2 linked regions of the Saccharomyces cerevisiae S288C genome follow. Changing the gene in region 2 together with the main gene of any one other region gives a genetic interaction. Each region holds a gene or a part of one and is shown on either strand. Other genes may lie near its edges.

Region 1 (3,950 bases), on a different chromosome or scaffold from region 2:
TACAACAACAGAAGTTTGAAGCTGCTGCTTCATATTTAGCCAACGCTACCAAATTAATGCAAGAATCAAATCAAGATAGCCATTTATCTGGCACCCACAACAATAATAGTAGTAAAAACGGTAACAATAACCTCATGACGATGAAAGCCTCCATAAGCTCTCCCAATACTAGCGTAAATAGTATCCAATCTCCCCCTAGTGTCAACAGCGTCAATGGCTCCGGGCAAGGTGTATCTACCGGTATTAATGTCTCTGGCAATAACGGGAGAATTGAAGTAGGTATTGGAAATTCTGTGAACCCCTACAATGGCAGAATAAATTAATTGAATCATGCACGTTATCCAGCATGTTCACGAAGTGAGTAATAAAAAATTATTCGCCGAAGTAACATGTACACGTCTATGTTTGTGGACAAGTTACGCTATTTGCATTTAGAGATTTCTTCTCCAATGTAAATTATTTTTTCTTCGGGGGGTATACATTATTTATTTAAGTAGACATTATATTTCTTCATAAGGGTAGGAGAGAGCGAATACAAATGCCCAGTAAATTCCCCATAAGTAGTTCTTAAAATATAATACCATAAAAGTGGCCATAAATAGGAAGGGCCATGGATTATTGGGTAGAATTTTTATAAATGCCATATGCAAAATAAAATTAGAGAATGAAATACCGAATATTTCCCAAGGATAATACTTTTTTTCTTTCCATATGACTTTCTCGACGTTTTCTTCAAATGACTGAGTCATTGCTTCCCTAGAAAAGTATTTCTTGACTCTTAGCGGGCCATTCCTCTCAAAGTTCACAGAACCGTTCTGCAAGATCTTTCTGCTTTCATCAATTGCAGTAGCCCATTGAATAGGGACGGCAGGTTTTAGCCACCCAGTGGCAGAACTTTCATTTTCACCAGCAACGTAAGATTTGATAGTCTCCAAAGGACCTCCATTGTTTACTGCTAGTACAGGCTTACCTAATTTCATGGCTTCTAAAGGAACAATACCAAAGTGCTCATATGCTGGTGTATACAATAACATTTCGGTTCTTTCGAGCAGTAATTCTTTCAGAGATGATGAAATGGAAGTTAAAAATATAATTTTACTATTATTGGTTTTGAATGACTCTAAATCGGAGACGCGCTTTATTTCTTGGTAGTATATGGTTGTATGGGATAATTCGTATTCATCGGCCAGAGACTGTAGTTCCTTCAAGTACTCCACATTTTCTGCAACCCTCTCGTCATAACCACCGCAAATAACTAACTTAACGTTGTCATTGATTTGATCTTCAGATAACGCAAAAGCCTTTATAGCCAGCGCAACATCCTTTTTTTTCTCAAAACGATTTATACTTAGGTAAAATCTATCGCCTTCGTTAAACACTGTTTTGAAAAATTTCTTGTCAATATCTTCAATTTCGATTGTTGATAAATCCACGCATGGATAAATGACGTCTGGATCATTGGATAAATACTTGAACGTTTGGTGGAACGTATTCTTAGTGAAATTTGAATTTACCACAACAGTATCGGCAGCACTCACGGAAAACTGTTCTATTAAGTCAAATGGTAGTCTGTATATTTTCTTCAATAGCCCAGCTCTTTGAGCCAATAATTGGTCGGGGAAATGACAATAAAACATCAAAGTGGCAGAACTAAAGATATGCAGAAGCGGAATACATGTAGACAGTTGATCAATGATAATTAATTGGTACGCATTCACTTTTTTCTGTAGGATCAATTGAATAACTAAATAAAGCTGTCTAATTGTTGCGAAAACAATAAAAAAACGACCCAAAAAGTTTGTCGGTAAAAAATCACCATAAACTTCGACTTTTAATTGGCCGTTTTTAACTTCTTCGAAACAATGTGATTTATCACAGTGACTAGTATAGATGATTACACTATGTCCTTGTTGCTGTAGACCTAATGCTGCATCGACGACTAACCTTTCAGCGCCCCCAATACCTAGGTCTGGATGAATAAAAGCAATCGTTCTTTTATCCTTTTCAATCATTTTTGCTTGTCTAATCGACTCTTTTTTATCTGTCTTTACTACTGTATCTATTTCGTGACTTCTTAAATGGCGAACGTAATCTTTTGATGTTAAAATGAATACATCATTTATTTTGTTGTTCGCGCGTTCATCTAGCCAGGCACTTGTTTATAAAAAAAGAAGCTATACGCAAGGCTCTCGATCTATAAATTGTATCTGTGATTGTGACCCTTTCGTATATATGTTATAATATTTACAAGAATATACATTTATCATGATAATCTCTGGTGCTTTTTGATGATCTTTGGAAGAGCTTTAGCCCAAGATTTTGTTTTACTGTCAGTTAGCATAAATACGCGGCCGCCCTGTTTCATTCTAGCAGTTCTGCCCACTCGGTGTATCAGGTCTATTGACGTTTTGGGTACATCGTAGAGAACAACATTCCGTACACCTTTGAAATTGAGCCCTCTTGCCATGAGGTCGGTGGTTACGAGTACATGCAAAGACTTGTTACTGGGTGCGGTACCATTAGAATTTGTGTTTTTCAATTTGCCGATGACGATGTTGGAATCAGGAATTTCAAATTTCTTCAAGGAAGTGGGAGGTGAAGTACTCTGAGCAACCACCTCCGAAAGTGGTCGCGGTGGTGATAAAAAGGGCATAATTTTCTCGGATCTTTCTTCAAATGTATCTTCACCAGTTAAACCGATGGCATTATGACCGAATTTCTTATTCAATAGGTTAACAATTTCAGGAACATTCTTTTTTTCGTTAACAAAGATAATGCATCTTTTCTCGAACCCTGGTTCCGTGTCATCATTTGAAATAGCATATAAAGTTTGTGCCAATGCTTTGATCTTGGATCCCTTGAAAGGACTTAAGGCAGAATTTATAACTTTAAAGTCCAAAGCGAATGGTAACTTATGCAGTCTGGGTGTCATTATAGGAACCACTGTAGGAAATAGTCTTTGCATTGTTTTATTAAACTCTTGAGGAATAGTAGCGGAACAGAAAATAAGGTGATTAATGTTAGGAATTCTCTTTATTGCGGAGTGCGTTTCTTCAAGCCATGACCTATCTAGAAGTGTGTCAGCTTCATCTAGTACTACGAAACCCACTTTGGACAAGACTTTATCAGGTCTAGTTATCATTCTTATGGAGAACAGGTTCAGTAGTTTTCCCGGAGTAGTGACTAAAATATCTATTCTATTTTTAATGTTCTCTAATAAATCACGATATGATGTGGCCTTGTCCCACTTGAAAGAGTTTAAGCCTAACAAGGTTTTCGTCTTGGAAACAGTTTCGTATACTTGGTCAACCAATTCATGCGTAGGCACCAGTATGATGGACCGAATCAGAACGTTTTTTCTTAATGTTTCCCATAATTCGGGAGTTTCCAACTCCTGTCTTTTCAAATAGTCTATTAAAGGTATCAAGTAGGCCATGGTCTTACCTGAACCTGTCTCAGCGGCAATCGCATGTATTTGTAACTTTGGATCCATTAAATTTTTGGATATTCTCTTAATGGCCACTGTTTGAATGGGACTCGGTATTATATTTTCACTGGTTTTTTTCCTACTATCTTGTAGCTTCAGGGACTCTTTGGAAATGATTTCTTTCACAGCGTCTCTGACAGGTGGAAGTATAAGCAATTGGTCGAAATTCGATATTTTTTGAATGAGTTTATTCGTACTGTCCATATTCATCTCGACGTCTTTTTTCAATCCACCATACTCTCCAAAGTTGAATGCTTGGTCAGGGTCATTCTTTTTGTTACCTTTTTTGCCTTTGGCCTTCTGTTTTCGGTTTTTATTACTACTGCCTGTAGGCACTGAAGCTAATGGAGAGTTTCCTTTATGCTTTGTTCTTGGGCCTCCCGCATAAGAACGCACTCCTATCTTGAGAAGCACGGGGAAAGACCACTGTGGTGAAATTACTGGCTTGAAAAAAAGCGACATT
Region 2 (3,940 bases):
ATTGAGAAAAAGGCTCATACGATACAAACGGTTGATAAAACAAAAGCTGGAATACAGGCAAACGGTTTTATTGAACAAATTAATAGAAGATGAAACTCAGGCTACCACCAATAACACAGTTGAGAAAGATAATAATACGCTGGAAAGGTTGGAATTGGCTCAAGAACTAACGATGTTGCAATTACAAAGGAAAAACAAATTGAGTTCCTTGGTGAAGAAATTTGAAGACAATGCCAAGATTCATAAATATAGACGGATTATCAGGGAAGGTACGGAAATGAATATTGAAGAAGTAGATAGTTCGCTGGATGTAATACTACAGACATTGATAGCCAACAATAATAAAAATAAGGGCGCAGAACAGATCATCACAATCTCAAACGCGAATAGTCATGCATAAAATATACATAAATAGAGGAACTTTACATGTATCCATATACTGAAAAATAGATAAAACAATGAGATAATATTTATTAACTTCTACGTAAATAAAAAGTTACATAAGGATCAACCTTTTTTTCTTTATTTTCTTTTTTTTTTTTATTTTTCATTTTCAATTACAAACTAAGACATAACAGTAAGCAGTGCTTTTTCTGTGCATGTTTTCCTCTTTTTATAATGATATTGGCTAAAATAAAATTAACAAAAACAGATGAGTGATATAGATTATATTCATTACAGTTCGTTTTCCTAACTCACATAATAATAGCTTCCTTTGGAACATTATCGGAGATAGACTTATGAGGTAAGACTTTACCACCGTTGATGTAGATTTCGTCCTTAACTTCAACGTCGTCACCCAAGACAGTGACACCTTCCAAACGACACCATTGACCAACGGTAGAGTTCCAGCCTACGATGGTAGATTTGACCAAGGAGTGGTTCTTGATGGTGGAGTTGCACAAAACAACAGATCTGGTGATTCTAACACCATCACCGATGGTGACATTAGGACCGATAACCACGTCTGGGCCAATCTTAGCAGTGGAGGAAATCTTAGCGGTTGGGTCGATCAAGGCATTACCAACAATGTTGGCACCTGTAGCCAATTTTTTTGGTTGTCTCTTGGCCAAAGAGTTCAAGTAAAGAACGGTACCAGACAAGAAGTCCTTTGGTTGACCAACATCCATCCAGAAACCTTCCAAATCGAAGGAATATAGTTGTTTTTCTTCGACCAAGATTGGGAAAGTTTCCTTTTCAATTGAAGTTGGCTTCATTTCAATCAAGTCAATGACTTCTGGGTTTAAAATGTACAAACCGGCGTTAATTCTGTTACCAACAAATTCCTTTGGCTTTTCAACAAATCTGTCAATCAAGTTTGGAGTAGCTATATCATGGACAATGACACCGTATTTAGAAGGTTCGTCGACCTTGGTAGCAACAATGGTACCTTTACCACCGTGAGCTTTGTGGAAGTCAGCCAATTCCTTGAATGGATATTCGCAAATGACGTCGGAGTTTAGGACGAAAAATGGAGAGTTGTCCTTCTTCAAAACATCTTCAGCCAATTTCAATGGACCTGCAGTACCTAATGGTTCAGTTTCTACAGAGAAAGTGATGTTAACACCATATTCCTTTTCGTACTTCTTCAAAGTTTCCACCATGACTTCTGGTCTGTAATTAACAGCAAGAACGATGTCAGTAACACCAGCGTTGGCTAAAGCCTCGATTTGGTGTAAAATCATTGGTCTATTACCGAATTCAACCAGTGGCTTTGGAACGGTCAAAGTTAAAGGTCTCAATCTGGTACCGTAACCACCGACTAAAATTAAACCTTTCATTTTTCAATTATATATGTTTTATTTGTTGAAGTTGTAGCTTGTCTTGTGCTGATAATATTTTGTTTGTATAGTCAACAAAATATTTGGACAGAAGAAAAGAGTTAGCGAATGTAAAGTAGTTTGCACACTTGATGAACGTTATCAAAGTCAAAGAGGTGAGAACAAGATAGACAAAGAAAAAAAAAATACAGTTTTGGAGAAAAGAAAACAAGACTATGTGAAACTTCTAACAATGACGTGAAAAGTCTACTATATATATGTTTACAAGAGCGCCACGAGGCAAGGAAAAAAAGAAAACAAAGCGAGAAACCACCAGCTTACTTTACTACCGGTCAGCTGTGGTTCTGTGTCTGTTCGTCTGTTTGTTTGTTTGTTTGTTTATTGCTGCGCTGTTCATGCTGAAAAACGACAAAAACAAAGAAAAAAAAGTTTTTCAGAGATTGAGATAAAAATAAACGTGGTGGCTCCCGAGGCATTTCTAGCTGGCCAGCAAGTACACGGTGGCCGTTTCTTTTGGCGTTTTTTTTTTCTGTTTTCGCGTTCTTCATGCTGTGCGTTGCTGGTGAGGTGGCGTGGACGGTTTGGTTTAGGCAATGATAGAAAAAGCTATAGTCAGAGTTGCAGGAAAGGACGAAAGTAGTCCATTTGGTGCCGTTATCCAAGGGTCTTGCTCTTAGTCTTGCTTTTCACCCAGCACGCGGTAAGAAGGATCGGGTGCAGCATGAAGAATGCTGACTGTACGCGTTTCGATTTGAAGCTTTAGGATGTTCTGTGGGTTGGGTTGGCTCGATCGACAGTGCGTATAGTGACCTTTGAACTGTACCGGGTGGCACGTCGTGCACAGAATCAGAAGTAGTTATAAAAGATTTGTAATTGCGTATATGCAACCAAGTTTAGGCTTTCTCCGTGCCGTTTTTTAAGGTGAAATGTACTCCTCTTGAAAATGTAAAAAAATGGAGCCTCGCAGAGCAGCTTGCCAAGCAGGTTGATACAAGGTGAGCCGCCGAAACATAACGATAAACGTGGTATAGTTTTCGATTGCCTTTAGTTTGGGTGGTCTCAGTGCTGGCACCTGACGAACTATTCGTAGGCAGGAGAACTTGCATCATGTGGTGTTCTTCCGAGATAGGGATGCCGTTTGGTCCTTACGAAAGTCAATGTTCTGGTACTACTAATTATTAACATAGTTCGTTGTATACACACTCTTTACTTTCATAAGAAATAAAAAGCACGTCTAAGAAATCTCTACGTCTTGGCTGCGGCAAGCAACTGCATAGAAAGCACATAGTAGTAACTCTAAAATGCGAGCTTCATACAGACAATTACATAAATGCAACATAGGCAGCATGGGATCCTGGGTTTCATATCGTCAAAGAAAGCCACCAACTGGCTTTACCATAAAAATACGAAAAGAAGTGCACACATTCTTCTTTTTGGCTCATCACAAGTTCTTCAATTTACTGTCATTACTTTTGTTTCCTTGTCAGATAATGTATGGGTGGTGTGTACACCAAGGTATTTTTTTTTTTACTTGGCAGATCTGCAATGCATAATAGAATGGTAAGGGAACGAGTAACAGACGGGAAGCGAATGCGAACACAAAGAATATAAATTTGAAATCTCCTGTTGCAAAGGATTCTCTAGACATTTACTATCTCAGTGACAATTCTCGAGTGAAACAAGAAATTGAGATGGTAGGTCAGCGCCCATACTTCTTGAATCAATTGGAGGAGCGGATAAAGCAAGTTTCCCCCCTCAATGTAAATCATCTTAAGCAAAATTTTAAAATCTAGGCACATATAAAGAGAAAATGGGAATGATTTTGCTGGATAGGCTACAGTGTTAGGAATGCAGAATTAGGAACTATAGATGATGCGATTAAAGATATTAAACGAGAAGTGACAGTGGTGGCTTCGACAACGGCAGTCGTGCTCGGTCGACAACGTGTATGTTTTTGCCGAGCAGAGCAGGGAAAGTCCTTCTTTCTGCGCGTGAATCAAAACACATTGGTATCGAATTTAACATATCTGGGTGAGGAATGGACAATCCTAATAAAGTACTGGAGGTTTGTCTGTATTTCCAAGTTCTTGCTTGTAGAAACTGCTTTCTTTTCTCTTTTCCTGCAGCGGTCGAACATATGTGATTATTGATTAGCCATT

Evidence for each region. A genetic interaction does not mean that the proteins touch.
Region 1: of PSA1 (region 2) and ALG2, extra expression of one rescues a mutant of the other (dosage rescue), as found in Saccharomyces cerevisiae (one study listed by BioGRID).

Annotation. Positions count from the first base shown.
Region 1 is NC_001139.9:379,260-383,209, forward strand, and holds ALG2 (GDP-Man:Man(1)GlcNAc(2)-PP-dolichol alpha-1,3-mannosyltransferase), read right to left. Parts: upstream 2,013-3,950; coding exon 501-2,012; downstream 1-500. Other genes in the region: deubiquitination module subunit SGF73, read left to right, coding at 1-323; MRH4 (ATP-dependent RNA helicase), read right to left, coding at 2,264-3,949. UniProt on the Saccharomyces cerevisiae protein: Mannosylates Man(2)GlcNAc(2)-dolichol diphosphate and Man(1)GlcNAc(2)-dolichol diphosphate to form Man(3)GlcNAc(2)-dolichol diphosphate.
Region 2 is NC_001136.10:354,979-358,918, forward strand, and holds PSA1 (mannose-1-phosphate guanylyltransferase), read right to left. Parts: upstream 1,782-3,940; coding exon 696-1,781; downstream 1-695. Other genes in the region: transcription factor MBP1, read left to right, coding at 1-400. UniProt on the Saccharomyces cerevisiae protein: Involved in cell wall synthesis where it is required for glycosylation. Involved in cell cycle progression through cell-size checkpoint.